Alligator mississippiensis: one gene and its partner. The protein of the gene in region 1 purifies or fractionates together with the protein of each later gene. This does not show direct contact. Links are inferred from orthologs where the notes say so. Each region holds a gene or a part of one and is shown in the gene's direction. Other genes may lie near its edges.

Region 1 (6,984 bases):
TAATCATTTATTCCAACGCGGTCCCCCCCAGTTTACAGCCTCCTGACAGGGCGCATCATCAAGAAGCTGACCAATCACAAGGCCTGCGTGCGGGACGTCAGCTGGCACCCCTATGAGGAGAAGATTGTGAGCAGCTCGGTGAGTGGGTCAGGATCCAGCAGGGGGGAGGAGGGGTGGGGTGCAGATCTATGGCCTGGCAATGCTGAAGAGGGGGGAGGCATTCTCCAGTTGCGTCCAGCAGGGGGTGCTCTAATTCCCCCCACCCCTTCTTCCTGCAGTGGGACGGGAGCCTGCGTGTCTGGGAGCACCGCCAGGCTGAGTACTACGAGGATGACCTCAGGGACCCGGGGAGCCCCCCCGTGGCCCCCAAGCCCTCCCGGGCCACGCCCCGCTCCTCCAGCCAATAGTGCACCTCAATCGTGGCCCCCCCCCCACAGGAGAGATTGGCGATGCAATCCAGCCCCCCCCCTCCTCACTAGGGACAGGGACCCTTGGGTGGGGCTTCCCCCTTTGTGGAGCCAGGGCCTTGCTGTTCCTGGGCAGAGGCGGGTGGTGCGGGGCTGGCAGGTGAGGGCTCCCTGCCCGTGGCGGGGATGCTGGCTTAGGAGTGGGGCAGGGGGCTTTGCCCTCCTGACAGTGCTAGTTCTGACAGAGGGGGGAGGGCGCTGGCTGGCTCCGGGCAGGCGGAGGGGAGCCAGATCTAGGTCCTCTCCTCTGCCCGTCCTTGACCTCCCCTCCCCTCCCACATCCTGAACTCCCGTCAGCTGTTCCCCCCCCCCCCGCTGTGGGGGAGGGGTGGTCTCTGGGTTCGGGTGGGTCTTTTGTGAGTCCCTGGCTTTGCCTTGCCTCTCTGATTTGGGGGGCTGGTATTTTGGGGGGGGGGCTTCTGTTTTCCCCCCCTCCATGGAGAAGTGGGGCTGTATATTCTCTGCTAGTGGGGGGATGCCCCCTTGTTTTTTAAAGGCTGGGAAGTGTGTGGGGGTGTCTCCCATATTCTCAGTCCCATGCGGGTCCCCCGTGCATGGAAGGGCCAGGCATGGGGGACTTGGAGGGGCTCTGTGCCCCCCCTTCTGCCCTGTGCTGCACGGGGGCTGTCTGTGTCACCTGCTGTCTATGTTGAGAATAAACCTCTCTAGACGTGTCTCTGTGCCCCTTGATTTGGGGGGGAAGCCCCTCTTCCCCCGACCCAGTCTGCAGGGGATAATACTCTCTACTTACCCCCCCAGATTCCCTTTGCCCCCCTCCAGCCTTCTTGTCTGCACCCCCTCACAGGCCCCTGGGATCAGCCAGCAGCTGCCACCTGTCACTTTTAGGCCAGGCCCCGCAGCTGTCTTGGGCCAGGCCAGGCTGTGCCCGTCAGTGTGGTGCCATGGGGGCCTGGGAGCTGTGGGGGCTGGCGCGGCGGGCACTGGGGCTGGCAGGGGGCCTGGGTGCAGGGCTGGTGCAGCTGGCTGGGGAGCAGGCCGCCTGGGTGCTGGTGCTGCCGGGAACACGCCGGGCCTATCATGCCGGGCTCGCGCTGCTGGTGCTGCTGTCGCCCCTGCTGCGGCTGTACGTTAGCCCCCATGCCGTCTTCGCCAACCCCCGCAACTTCTTCCATGTGTGAGTCCCCTGGCAGGGGGCTTCTGGGCTGGGAGCAGGGAGGGGGGGAGTGGGCTTTAGAGGTCTTGAGATGGCAAGGGAGGATCCTCGGTGGGGGTTCATGGGGGTGGGTGGAGTTTGGGTGCTGGGTTGGGTGGATAGGGGGGAACTGGGGGCTCTGAGGGTCATGGGAGGGACGGCAGTCTGTATCTGGGAAGGGAGGGGAGGGAACTGCGTGAGGGGACATCTGAGGTGGGACTTGGGGTTGGGGCTCAGGGCAGAGTGAGTGGGAGGGCAGGAGCTACTGGGGGCAGGATCTGTAGGGTGTTGGGGACTGGGCTTGAGGTCTGGGGGGGCTTTGAGATCTCAAGGGGTGGGGGAACAGGGATGGACGGGGATGGGGTTGTGTGGACAGGTCCAGGGCATGGGGCATTTGGGGGTAGAGGGAGATGAGTGCAGGAGGGCGCTGGAGCAGGGGTGGGTGACAGAGCCTAGGTGCCCCCCTCACCTCTGCCTCCTCCTGTCCACAGGAAACTGGTAGCGTCGGCCTGGGGCTGGACCAGCCTGCTGGTGGCGGGGCTGCTGCTGCCGCTGGCAGTAGGCGCAGCAGGACGGGTGGGTGCAGCGCTGCGCCCACTGTGCCGACTGGCTGTGGGCGCAGGGTTCTGGGTGGGCGCCCGCGCTGCCTTTGCCCTGGCCGAGGACCTGACGGGCCACTGCTATGACCCGGTGCCTGGTGGGCGGTTGGTGAACGCGCTGCCCTCCAAGGCAGCCTGCAGCGCAGGCGGGCACCGCTGGACTGGCTTTGCCCCCTCGGCGCCTGCCTTCCTGCTCACCTTCTGCCCACTGCTGGTGCTGGAGGAGGCAGGCGTGTTTGGGCGCTGCCTGGCTCGGGGGCTGCGGGCGGGGGCCGCGCTCCATGCCCTCTTCCTATTCAATGTGGCACTGCTGCTACTGTGGCCAGCCCTGCTGGTGGCCACGCTGCTGTGGCAGCCGCCCTATGCCCCCCATGCTGCTGGTACTGCCACTGCCACCCTCTGCTGGGCCCTGGCGTACCGTGGCTGGTACCGCTGCCGCTGGTCCCCTGGCCGCCCTGGCACTGGCCTCTTCCCCCTGGCCGCCGAGTGCGCCTGAGGGATCCTGGCATGTGGGGTGGGGAGGGGGGTGGGGTGCGGGGGACCTGGATATCCAGTAGAAAGAGTGCATGGGGTGGCCTCTGCGGTACATGCAGAGATGGGAGGGGGTGGGAAATCTCAGTGTCTAGAGAACAGCTGGAGAAGAAGATGGGTGATGCCAACCTTGGTGTCTGGGAGAAGGTGGGAGGTGAGAATCTGGGTTTTCGGGAGGAGGAGAGGGTGGGGCCATCTCTGGGCAATGTGTGGAAATGCAAACATCTGGGAGGAGGCCACCTCTGGAGAACATCTGGAGAAGGTGGGAACCCAGGCATCTGGGGTGGGCCAGGCCTGGTGAACACCTGGAGAAGCTCTGCACAGCAATGGGCAATGGACTCATCCTAAGCTCAGTCAGGAACCCAGGCATCCAGGAGAGGGGAAATCAGCTGGAGAGTCTTGTGCAGGGGCGTCTCCCCCTGCCCTGGAGTGTGGACTTGTCTGGGCTGAGGAACCGCGGCATCTGGGACAGCCTGCCCCTGGCCATCGCTAGGAGACGACTGAGGGGTCCATGTGTCCTCGGCACCTTCTGGGGCCAACAGGCGTGGAGAAGGGACCCAAGCGTCTGGGAGACCACCGGTCAATTGACGCCAGACTACTTTTGTCATGCGTGCAGCTTGTTCCCACCTTTGGATGTGGGATGGGAACCGGCTCGTTCAGGAGAGCCAGGGACACCAGCTGGAGAAGGGCAGGGTCCCCGTCTGCCCCAGCAGCGATGTGGGGTGTAGCCCCAGGTGCCCAAGCAGACGCCCAGGCTGAGAACTGAGGTGCTGGGGCACGAATAAAGGTGGCCTCTGAGTCTGGCGTTGCCTGCCTGGTGTTTGAAGTGGGGCCGGGGGGGCACCCAGGTGCCTGGGGGAAGTGGAGGGGCTTCTGGTGGGGGGGAACCAATGGGAGAGGGGGCCCAGGGCTCTGGGAGGGGGAGAGGCAGAAAACCCAGGCATCAGAGACCAGTCTGAAACCCCCACCCCCACTGAGGTCACTGCTGGGGAAAGCTCACAGCCCTTGTCTCGCCCCACCCTGAGGGCACTGGTGGGGAAAGTTTGCAGTCCTGCCACCCCTCCTCCCCCACCACCACTGCCAGCACTGCTGGGGGAAGCTCACAGTCCCCCCCTCTCCCCCCACCCCATCCTGAGGGCACTGCTGAAGGAAGTTTGCAGCCTTTGGCTGCCGTCCAAGACCGGAAATCCCCGGCCTGCTGCTTTCGATTTCACTTGTCACGCTCACTGCTGCGGTACCACGCGCCTGTGCCTGGACTGGCCCCACACCCCCCCGGTGCCCCCCGGCCATGGCCGCCCTCCGCCTGCCCCCCGCCAGCCAGGCCCAGGTGAGGGGGGGCGGGTGGGGAGGGCAGGGGCCTAGCCGGGCTGAGGCCTGGCTGGAGTAGCTGAGGCCTAGCCAGGGTATTTGGGGCCTGGCTGGGCCTGTGGGCCCCCAGCGGTGTGGTGGGGATGGGGTGGGAGGGAAGTGGCTGGGAGCCCCCCAGACCCCCCGCTGGAGATGGAGGGGCTGTTGCTGGCGAAGGCAGCACAGGCTGGGCTGGGGGGAGTTTTGGGGGGGCCCTGGTGACCCCCCCCCATTGTGCTCTACCCAGGTGGATGCCTTCCGCAGCCAGCTGTGTGCTGAGGTGAGATGCTGCGAGCTTCCCCTAGCAGTGCCCTTGGGGCTGGGGGAGGGGCAGGGGCTGCAAGCTTCTCCCAACACTGCCCTTGGGATGGTGGGGCAGGGGATGTGAGCTTCCCCCAGCAGTGCCCTCAGGGTGTGGCGGGGCAGCAGTGGCTGTGAGCTTCCCCCAATGGTATCCTCAGGACGCGGGGGGTGGGCAGGGGCTGTGAGCTTCCTCTGGCAGTGCCCACAGGGTGGAGGGGCAGAGGCTGTGAGCTTCCCCCAGCAGTGCCCTCGGGATGGGGGGGGCAGGGGCTGTGAGCTTCCCCCAGCAATGCCCTCGGGGAGCAGGGGGGTGAGGGCCTGCGAGCTTCCCTCAGCAGTGCCCTCGGGGGGGGGGCAGTAGGGACTGCAGGCTTCCTCCAACAGCGTCCTTAGGGGGGTGGGGGCAGGGGTTGTGAGCTTCCTCTAGCAGTGCCCTCGGGGAAGGGGGGGGGGAAGGCCTGCGAGCTTCCCTCAGCAGTGCCCTCGGGATGGGTGGGCTGGGGCAAAGGCTGCGAGCTGTTCTCAGGTGCTCCGTCCTGTTCCCCCACCCCAGACTGAGCAGATGGTGGGGAGTCGGTTCCCAGAGCAGATCGCAGAGTTGGACGCTCTCCTCAAGGTGGATTGGGGGCGCAGGACATGGGGGAGGCTAGAAATGGGGGGCTCGGGGGCATCTGGGCAGGGTGGGTGTGCTAAGGGAATAGGGAGAGACTGCAGGCCTGGAGGATTTGGAGGGTCCAGGTCCTGCTGGGGGGCCCAGGGCATGGGATGGTGGTGGGGGGAACAAGAGATGGGTTGGGATTGAGGGGGTGGAGGGGGGGGGCCTGAGGTATTTGAGGGGGCTGAGGATTGTGGAGTGTGCTGAGGGGGTTGCAGTCAGGGGGAAGGTGTAGGGGACCTGAAGAGACTGGGGCTGGAGGGAGGGGTGTGGGGGCACTAAAGAAGGCTTTGGGGAGCCAAGGGGTGTTGGGGATTGAGTGGGGGCTGGGAGGTGTGGGGGGTCAGGGAGGGGGGTTGGGGTGTCTGTAGAGAGTTGGGGCTTGTGTCTGGTGGCAGGAGGGAGTGGGGGCTGGGAGGGGCATGGGGGGTGCTGGGGGTATCTGGGAGTTGAGGGAGGGAGGAGCTGAGCTGGGGGGATCGGGCAAGGGGTCTCTGTGGAGTCAGGGTTCAGGGCACCCACTGATCTCTCCACCCGACACCAGGACCCCGTGCTAAACCTTGTAGACCCTGGAGCACTGCGGGCTGAGCTGGACATCCCCCTGCCCGACCCCGAACGGGACGCCCAGCGCCAGGTGAGGGCTGGGGGGAGCTGGGGAGGTGTGCGTTGCCCAGCACACAGGGATATCTGGGGTGGGGGGTCCAGGCTGTGTGGCGGCTGCAGGGAGAACCCAAGGGTCTGAGAGGGTCTCTTATCTCCCCCCCCCACAGAAGGAGAAGAAGGAGAAGGAGAAGGGGGATGACAAGAAGGACGATGATGACAAAGGTGGGGCTGTGGGGGGCCATCAGGGGGATGGGGGTTGTGGAAAATGTGAAGGGGTCATGGGGGGTTGGAAGGCTGTGGGGGGCTGGGGGTAGGAATTGCGTGGGTCGGAAGGGGCTGGTGGTTGTTGAAAGGTGGGAGGGCCTGGTTGGGGCATTATGGGGCTGGGGGCATATAGAGGGTCCACAGGGGCTGGGGGGTGTCAGGCACTGGGTGGTGTGGGGAGGGCCGGGTGGTCACGGGGACCCCAGGGTGGGTGCTGGGGGGGTGGGGGGGGCACTGGGGGGGCATGGGGGTCTCAGGGTGGTGTTGGAGGGGCTGGGAGGCCACAGAGCAGGTATAACCCCAGTGCCGGCAGGGCCTCCGTGCGGCCCAGTGAGCAGCAACGCCGTGGTGCTGGGCCTGGTGCAGCGCGTCACCCCCCGGTTGCAGCGTGCCAAGGAGGAGCTGGGGCTGGTGAGTGACACGGCAGTGATGCAAACCCTTGCACCGCATAACTGCAACCTGCACCGCCACTGCTGTGCCCGGGGTGGGGGGCTGGGGCTGGACATGCAACTCCACCACCACATGAGACCACACAGCCATACGCCATTATCATATGGCTGTATGCACGTCACACCACACTGCCACTAAAGACCACCGCAACTATGTCACCACATGGCTGAACACCACTACACAATCATGCAACACAACTGCACACTGCTACACAACCATAGAGCTATGCACCCCAGGGCAGGGCGCCAGGGAAGAGCTGGGAGTGGTAGGTCACACTGTACAGTTATGCGACCACACAATACCGCACTGCTATGCTACACCACTACGCAGCCATGCTCCACTGCACACCATGACCTCACACTGCTGCACAACACCATAGCCATATGCCATGCTGTCATGCAGCACTCTAGGGAGGAGCTGGGGCTGATGAGTGGTGCACAACACAGCAGCCACACAACACTGTACACCACAACACAGCTGCACACTGCACACCATTCCACAACTGGAGGCTATTACACAACTTTACACACCGCTACAGAACCACACAATGCTACACACCACTACACAACTGCACACTGCTCTGCAACAAGACAATACCGTGCACCACTACAT
Region 2 (7,851 bases), on another chromosome or scaffold:
ATGAGGGTTGCAAAGCAGAGTTTGGCTAGGCTGGAGGATTGCTCTCCAGCAGCGTAATAGGTGGAGGACGCAGAGGAGTAAGTGGGGTGCTGAGGAGTTGTACAGTTCTAGAGTGCTGATTGAGATGTTTGCTTGTGTTACCTTGTGAGTTGTCTGTCTGTTATTGTAAACTGCTCTGAGCCTTTCTGGATTGGGCAGGACATAAATCTAAATAATAATAATAATCACCTAATGACAAAAAATTATAGTTGTCAGCAGACTCCCTTTGGTTGTGGGCCTGGGGAGGTGGGTCACAATACAAATCTGGCCATGCAGTAGCATGATGGAGCCTGTGTTTCTTCAGCAATGAACTGTTCAGCTAGTGATCTCATCTGAATTCCCTTGACCTTCTTTGAAGACCTGTAAACTATAACCATTACTAGCAATAAGAACAAAAATGATTCCTACTGTTTTTTTAAAAAAGCCTTTTCATATTGTGTATTTAATAATTTGTATGCTGGTCAACAAAGCTTATTACAGGATTAAGGGCCAGAAATCTTAAATGCGTGTTTCAAACCCAATGCCTCCCTGGCAGCTGTGCTGGGTTTTTCTTTAGATGGGATTAAATCAAAATTTCTACTGTGAATAACCCTGGTATTTATGGGAGTTTGGATCTGAATCCAAACTTGGCAGTTCATAGCCACCCTTCAGCAGTTTAGCAGCAGCTGGCTGGTACAGTTGCAGCTTGAAGATCATTTTCACTTATTATTAACATGAAAAGTAGCAGGTACCCATGCACAGGAAATTGTTTTGGGTAAGGTCTTTGGTGAGAGTCATACCTATATGACTGAACAAATGCAATGGATTGAATAATACTGTCAGGTAGGAAGGATGGTACATTAGGTAGGGACTTGGGAGGGCTGGGTTCAGATATCCTGTGTGACTTTGAAAAAGTTAAATATATGCTCATGGCTCCAGCTCCCTGTCTGTAAAGCAGAGATAATGGTACACATTCTCTTTTTTCCCAGTTTATTTTCTTTATGCAATTGATGCCATTTTGTGAACAGTTGACTTTATTCTTTTCCCAGTTAGTCTGCATATGTCTCACCTGGGAACAAAGGAGAGGAAAAACATTTACAATATATATATTTACAATATACAATTTACATTTACAATGTATATATTTACAAAAAACAATAGGAATGTGTTGTCACAAAATGATAAACAGTGACAGGCAGACTACTGGGAAGGTCTGGTACTTTAATATAAAGTTCAGTTCACATTAAGAGTAGCCTTCTAATGCATACACTGACCTTGTGATACTGTGTGTGGCACTATGTGAAGATTGTAGTATTTTGTCAGCAGGTGGCATTGTTCTACAAGTGGTGTTCTTTTTATTGCATTGGAGGTGCTGTAATCACATTGTAGTTTTGAGGCAGTATCCTGGTCTTTGTATCTGTGATTTTCATGCATATCTAGTGGCTTTTATTAAAACCAAGAGCTCTAGTTTTAAACTGATATTTCATTCTACAGCAAAATCTGGGCCGATGTTCTCTGATATTTTATACATCTGGCAGAATCTGGCCTTAAAGACATCTTAACCAATGCAGAGAGAGAATTCCAATATAAGGGCATAAATACAAATAGATGCTTGTCTGCCCCTCTGCCTTTGCACAGCTTAAAAAAAATATTACTTTTTGGATTAAGAAAATAATTTAGTAGTTTATGGATTACCAATAAATCTGAAATACCTAGACTCCCTAGATCTGCTAGAGTATGGCTGACTTGGCTGTTTCTCCTTTTCCGGTAAATGAGTCACATAATATAATTGTGTGCAGGTCTTCTGGGTGACACCTGCCTCTGTTGGGTGGGCATTCCTGATCTCATGACACTTTTTTTTAGAAAAGTAAAGCTTTGTTCTAGCATTTGCTCTTGCACAGCTGTGTGTTCTCTCCTAATGTACCTGAACATTCTCTCTTTTTTATTTGAGCAACATTTGTTCAGCTAGTTGTGCCAATAAAGTATTATTGGATGGTATAGAAAGTGACACCTTGAGATTCTTTTAAGAGTGCCACGCAGTATTAACAGTTAGGTGTGCAGACACTTGCACATGATTCATAAGATAAACCCAGAGCTATCAGATGGGAATCCATAGTGTCAAGAACACTCTGACCTTTCATGGTCTTTCTGAGTCCTTTGCAATAGAGCGTTTCTGCTATTTCATAGTCCAGAAACAAATGAAAGCTAAGAGTTAGCATTTTCTGAAGGATGCTTTGAGTTTAATGAGGAGTGCTTTGACTCTATACACAGTATAGAATTTGTGAGAGACCATGGGATTTCTGAGGTTGAAAGCAGCCGCATGTGTGTAAGATTTTATCATAGGCACTATTTTAATGAATAATTTAGGATAATCTCCATTACTGAAAGATTTACAGAAGCCTCACCCAAAGGTGGCAGTGGATGATAAGGTCATCTTGCGGGAGGACACTGGTGGCAATGGTCATCAAAGCCATAATGCTGCTCTATAAATGTGATCTAAATCCAGTTAAAGTCCATTAAAGACTTTCTGTTGCCTTTGTATGCAATAACGAAACTATCGTTTATATCCTTTTTTCTATTTTATGATTTCCTGAAGAAATTCCATCATCCATCAGTAAAAAGTCTTCATCGAGGGAAGTTCATTTGGAACTTGGCAAATGTTCCTCTTTTGGATCAGTATATTCATGCCCTGGGCCAGAGCGAATACTGTGAAGTTGTGAGCCAAGTAATTCAACAGTTTAAAGAGAAAATCTTACCCAACCTAAGCAATTTTCGAGCCTGTGAGTAGTTTCTAACACAGTTTTGCTGTAAGACTTCCTGAATGTAAGAAATGATTCCAAGAGAATTTGCGTGCTTATAAAAAGAGCCAAATACAGGGCACTATAGGAAATTGTTTATTGTACTCCTGAACATATACAAGCTGCTCGCAATGCTCGGTGAACAAGACCCAAACCAGGCCTGGGAGGAATGAATTATTTTCATGAGTTAAAAGGGAGTTTAGTTTTAGCCTGTTTGCTGAGATTCCCAGCAAGGGTGCCAATTACTGTGGAGATTTTCATAATATAACAAGAGTTTAGTAGAACTAGATGAAGGCTTCTTACTCATTTCATATTGGCCGCTGACAGTTGTCAAAGAGCAATGTCTCTCAAAATAACCTAAATTAGTGACAATGGTAATCCAGCAGTGAAAGGCTTCATGACCTTGTGCATGAATCTTTGTGTCTGGATAGCAGGTGGCACATTTTAGGTGCTATAAAAGCTAAGTAATAAATCATAAACATCCAAATGCCACTTATCTAATGTGCTTATATATGATAATGAAACAGGTTCTTATAAAGAACCAGGAAAGCATGAGAGTTATAGCAATATTGTCAGGATTCGGTTCTGTTGAGGCAGACCAGAATAGGCATGCAGTTAATCTGGGAGTGTTAACTTCATTCCCTCTTCATATGTACGTGTTTTCAATTTAGTTTTCTCAAGAGAATGGGCAAAGTTTCCACTCTTTGTTTACTACTTTTCTTTTTCTTGTTTGTACATAATACGTTCTCTCTCCTTTTTGCATTCAGGTATCAATCATGGGGACCTTAATGACCATAACATCTTGGTGGACTGCAACCCTGCATCTTCCTCTGAGAGGGCACAGTACAGAGTGACTGGCATTCTGGATTTTAGTGATATGAGCTACGGTTACTATGTATTTGAAGTAGCCATAGCAATCATGTACATGATGATTGAGAGCAAAGATCCTCTCAGCGTTGGAGGACATGTGCTTGCAGGGTTTGAAAGCATCGTGCCATTGACGCCAGAGGAGAGAGGTGCCCTCTTCCTTTTGGTGAGCGGTAGGTTCTCTCAATCGCTGGTAGTAGCGGCTCACACTTTGCAGTTATATCCTGAAAATCAGGAATACTTGATGATCACAGCCCGAGTGGGATGGAAGCACTTAGTCCAACTGTTTGAGGTGGGCCAAGAAGTGGTTGAGAAGATCTGGTTTGAAACTGCAGATGCCTATGCCAGTGCTGCCCAGGCCTAGCTTGCATATTTCCACTGAGGAGATACACAGGGATGTAAGGAAACCTGCAACTTGCAGTGCTGGGACTGGGCTGCAGTTATTAAACGTAGGTTATGACAGAAGCTATACATCCGGGTTTTCCTGAACATGTCTTTTTTTTTGGACCCCTATGCTGCATCCAGGTGGGTTTTTAAATTAAGAGCAAATGTCAGGGTTTTCTGCTCTCCTGGGGTGGCTGTTTGGGGTTGGGAGCAGTGGGCAGTGCCAGTGGCTGCTGGGGATCACATACTCCCAGTGCGGGCTCCAGCAACCAGAGAGAGTGAGAAAGAGGTGTGTGAGAGAGCCGGTGTGCATGCAACACAGGAGCTGCTTGGGCAGCAGGGCTGGGGGGGCAGGGGTCTGCGGGTCAAGAGTGAGGGGTACCAGCAGGGCTGGGAGGGGGATGGGTCACTGTGGGTTGGATGTGCAGGGCACTGGCAGTGCCAGGGGCTGTGGGTCAGGAGAGGGGTACCAGCAAGGGGTGGGGGCAGGGGGCTGCGGTTTGGGAGTGAGGGGCAGGGGCAGGGCACTGGCATGTCACTGCCCCCCCCCAACCCCGTGTCCTCTATTTTGGACCCGGAGCCCCTAGGGGGTTTCCTAATGTGTAATAGCCCCAGGGGGTCCTATGCTCACAGTATGTCTGTAGCCGTCCACCCTGCGCTCTCGAGCCGAGCAGGCCGGGGCGCACAGACGCTCCCAGGCGTTGACCGCGTCGGGGCGGGAAGCTGGGCCGAGGCAGCCGCGGCCGGGGGGGTGCTGTGAGCGCGATTCTACCTGCGGCCCGCGGCCGGGCGGGGCTCAACGTCACATCCAGGTCCCGCCTCTTCGGTTCCGGCCGGGCAGAGCCAGCGCGCATGCGCGGCGGCCATCTTTGGCTGAAGCCGGTGTGGAGTGCTGTCGGCTGACCGGTCCCCCGCAGCCCCTGGAGCCCCGCGGTGAGTGCTGGCGGCGCCCGCGGGGTGGGGGCGGGGCGGGGTGGGGTCCGGGCCCCCGAGGGGGGCGGGTGTCCAGGCTCGGCGGGGGCTGCGGGGCTGCCCCGGGCTTAGCGCGGGGGGTGGGGGATGACTGTGCACTGCCGCCTCGAGGAGCCGGGCTCGACTCGGCGCGGCCCAGGGCCGGCGGGAGCCCCCGGGGCCCGTGCTGCTGCCCTGCTGGGGGCGGGGGCGGGAGGGGGTGGGTGCCTCGCTTTTACGGCGGGATGTCACCCGGTTTGGGGACCCGTGCTGTAGTGCAAGCGTCCTGGTTAAATAAATGCCTCCAGCGTCCTCGGCGTGCCCTGGGTATCTTGTTGTCACCTGACAACTTTCATTTTCATTTGCAGCCTAACGTAAACTTCCCAGCAACATGGTGAGTTAATACCTGACGGCTCAGCTCTTTAGTCCCTTGTTCACTTAATTGGTTAAACTCTTCAACAGCTAAATCAGATAACAGATAATCAGTGGGAAATGGAGGCTCCGCTCTTGCCAGTAGTAACGTTTAAGTTTATCTGGAAAAACGTGCACAGAAATATTGCAGGGTTGGGCTCAAACTTCACAAGAAAGACCAGGAGTAAGGGAAAAGTGTATTGAGGTAAATATGCATTCAATTAGGGGCGAGTAAAATACAGCCTGTGGCTGCCCAGCACTTTCATTTAGCCCACAGCGCCCACCCACAAGTTGTGCACTGCCTAGCCCTTCCGCCTATGAGGATGTGAGTGAGGTGCCCATGTGTATACCTGCCCCCCCCCAAAAAAAACAACATATCCTATTGTGCCTTGCTCCCACCCTCATGGACATTAGGGCTGGGCCCATGGGGCTTCCCTCCCATGCCGTATGAGTGCAGGGGCTGCATGTGCGCGGCAGGGAGTGCCGGGGATAGAGACTGCCCAGTGGAGGCTGCGCCCTGACGGCATGAGTGCCCCCGCCTGCTGCTGCCACACCCTAAAGGAAGCGTGGGGGGGGGTCCCATATCTCCCCACCTTCCCTCGCACTTCACAAATGCCACACACCCACACCCTGCCCCCACAACTGTCCACATATACACAACCCCCCAACGTACCCTATTGCCCCCCACACAGTCACAACCCCCCTACCGCACACGCACATCCCCAACCACCCCCCCACAATATACAAGACTACAAATATGTGCGGTCACCTCTATATACAGTATGCAAACAAATCATAACCAAAATATTTTTTGTAATGAAATTAAAATATGTTATAGTAGGTGTTGGACTTTTAGTGTATGCTTTGGTTTTTTTTCTGGTTCTAAGGTGGCAACCCCCTCCCAAAAGGAGTATGGGGGGTGGGGGAGCAATGGGAGGGACTTCCAGTGACAAGGGTTAGGGGGTGGGACTTCTGGTCCCAAGGTGGCGATCAGGGGGCAGGGCAACTGTCAGGGGCCAGGGCTATCCATGTGGTCCTCAACAGCTCACCAAAGCTCATTAAGCGGCCCTCTGCCTGAAATAGTTGTCCACCCCTGCATTAAATACTTGCTCCTTGACCACCAATGAAAGGTTCTAATGGCAACAAAATTGCCTGCTGTGCTGCTTGCTGTCTCTTGTAAATAAGAGAGTGGGGTCACTGGATGGCTTCTACATGTGATTGAAAAGATGACTAGTATAAAATTTCTTCTTGTGGCAATAGAACAGAAAAAGTAAGTTGTTTTTGCTTTGTTTTTTTCTTTAAACAGTCTCGAAGATATGATTCCAGAACTACTATATTTTCTCCAGAAGGTATTTTTTGTGAATGGGAATGAATCACTGGACCCTTCAGCTTTTTCTGAAAATTAAATAGCAGCTAAACTTGTGAAAAGCTGTCATGTTGGATGTTTACACTTTGTCTGATATGTCAAATATTACTTAAATCTGGTTTTCACATTAGGAATAACACCCAAAACTGTGTGGTCAAAGTGGAGCACTACTTTCAATTTTTTGATTTAAGAACAGAGGCATTAAAGATCCTTTGCTTTATTATGGGGGGGGGGGGGGCTATGGTGAATTTTAGCGTGGCTGTAGCCCCCCTCCCAGCGCTGCCCACCCCGAGCACAGCCCCGGCCCAGTACCCCCATCAGGAACAGGTTGGTGCAGGCCCCAGCCCCAAGCCTGCAGCGGACAGCCTGTCCTCGCCCCATGCTCAAATCTGGGGGACACGTGTCCCTTTGTGGCATTCCCCCAGGGGTGTGCACAAAGGTGGGGAGCCCCCTTTGCCCCCTGGATGAGCTGCCTGCAGCACAATCTCCCACCCCACCCTGCCCTAGCTGGCCAATGCCTGCCCTGGTCCCATTCTCTCCCTCACTGTGGGGGCCTCAAGCTGCCACACTCCTTCCCTCCCCCATGCCTCTTCCCTCCAGTAGACTTACCGGCCAGATGCTGCTCTCTAAGCTACTGGACTACATATCAGCAATTGGATCAGTATTGGCCAATATGGTATCGGCCAAAAAAGTTTTTATTGGTGCACCCCTACTACATAGTGTAGTAATTGCTGCTTTTTAGGGCTTGTTTATTAGAGTGGGAGAGGCCTAATGTAAAATAAACTAGGCATTGAAGCCTGGTAGTAGTTATGGACTGAGTAAAGGCCAAGTGGCTCTCTTAGTGTGAGTTTATCCGTTCTTGACAGTTTAATTGTACCCCTTGTTTTCTAGTCACTGTTTTCTGTTTGGAAGCTCTGCTTCCTTCAGCTCTTCATACCAGCTTATTTTGTCAGATGCTGCTTTTTAAAGCATGTGCTTTCTCTGATTTAGTTAGTCTATAAGGCACTAATCCACCTTACCTTCAGCTACCAGTAGCAGCCATAGGACTTGTTCCTA

What was found. Proteins that work in one complex are often made in the same cells at the same time.
Region 2: the proteins of PSME1 (region 1) and PSMA4 purify together in Homo sapiens (affinity purification with western blotting; 4 studies listed by BioGRID and IntAct, with this or other methods). This does not show direct contact. The link is inferred for Alligator mississippiensis from reciprocal best matches to the Homo sapiens genes PSME1 and PSMA4.

What each region holds. Positions count from the first base shown.
Region 1 is NC_081830.1:7,786,007-7,792,990, forward strand, and holds the start of PSME1 (proteasome activator complex subunit 1), read left to right. Parts: upstream 1-3,941; 5' UTR 3,942-4,038; coding exon 4,039-4,077; intron 4,078-4,344; coding exon 4,345-4,377; intron 4,378-4,953; coding exon 4,954-5,016; intron 5,017-5,599; coding exon 5,600-5,689; intron 5,690-5,825; coding exon 5,826-5,880; intron 5,881-6,235; coding exon 6,236-6,333; intron 6,334-6,984. Other genes in the region: DCAF11 (DDB1- and CUL4-associated factor 11), read left to right, coding at 32-138, 279-407; FITM1 (fat storage-inducing transmembrane protein 1), read left to right, coding at 1,370-1,602, 2,112-2,715. UniProt on the Homo sapiens protein: Implicated in immunoproteasome assembly and required for efficient antigen processing. The PA28 activator complex enhances the generation of class I binding peptides by altering the cleavage pattern of the proteasome.
Region 2 is NC_081834.1:30,788,329-30,796,179, reverse strand, and holds the start of PSMA4 (proteasome subunit alpha type-4), read left to right. Parts: upstream 1-4,850; 5' UTR 4,851-5,000; intron 5,001-5,386; 5' UTR 5,387-5,409; coding exon 5,410-5,412; intron 5,413-6,735; coding exon 6,736-6,778; intron 6,779-7,851. Other genes in the region: HYKK (hydroxylysine kinase), read left to right, coding at 2,615-2,798, 3,584-4,047. UniProt on the Homo sapiens protein: Component of the 20S core proteasome complex involved in the proteolytic degradation of most intracellular proteins. This complex plays numerous essential roles within the cell by associating with different regulatory particles.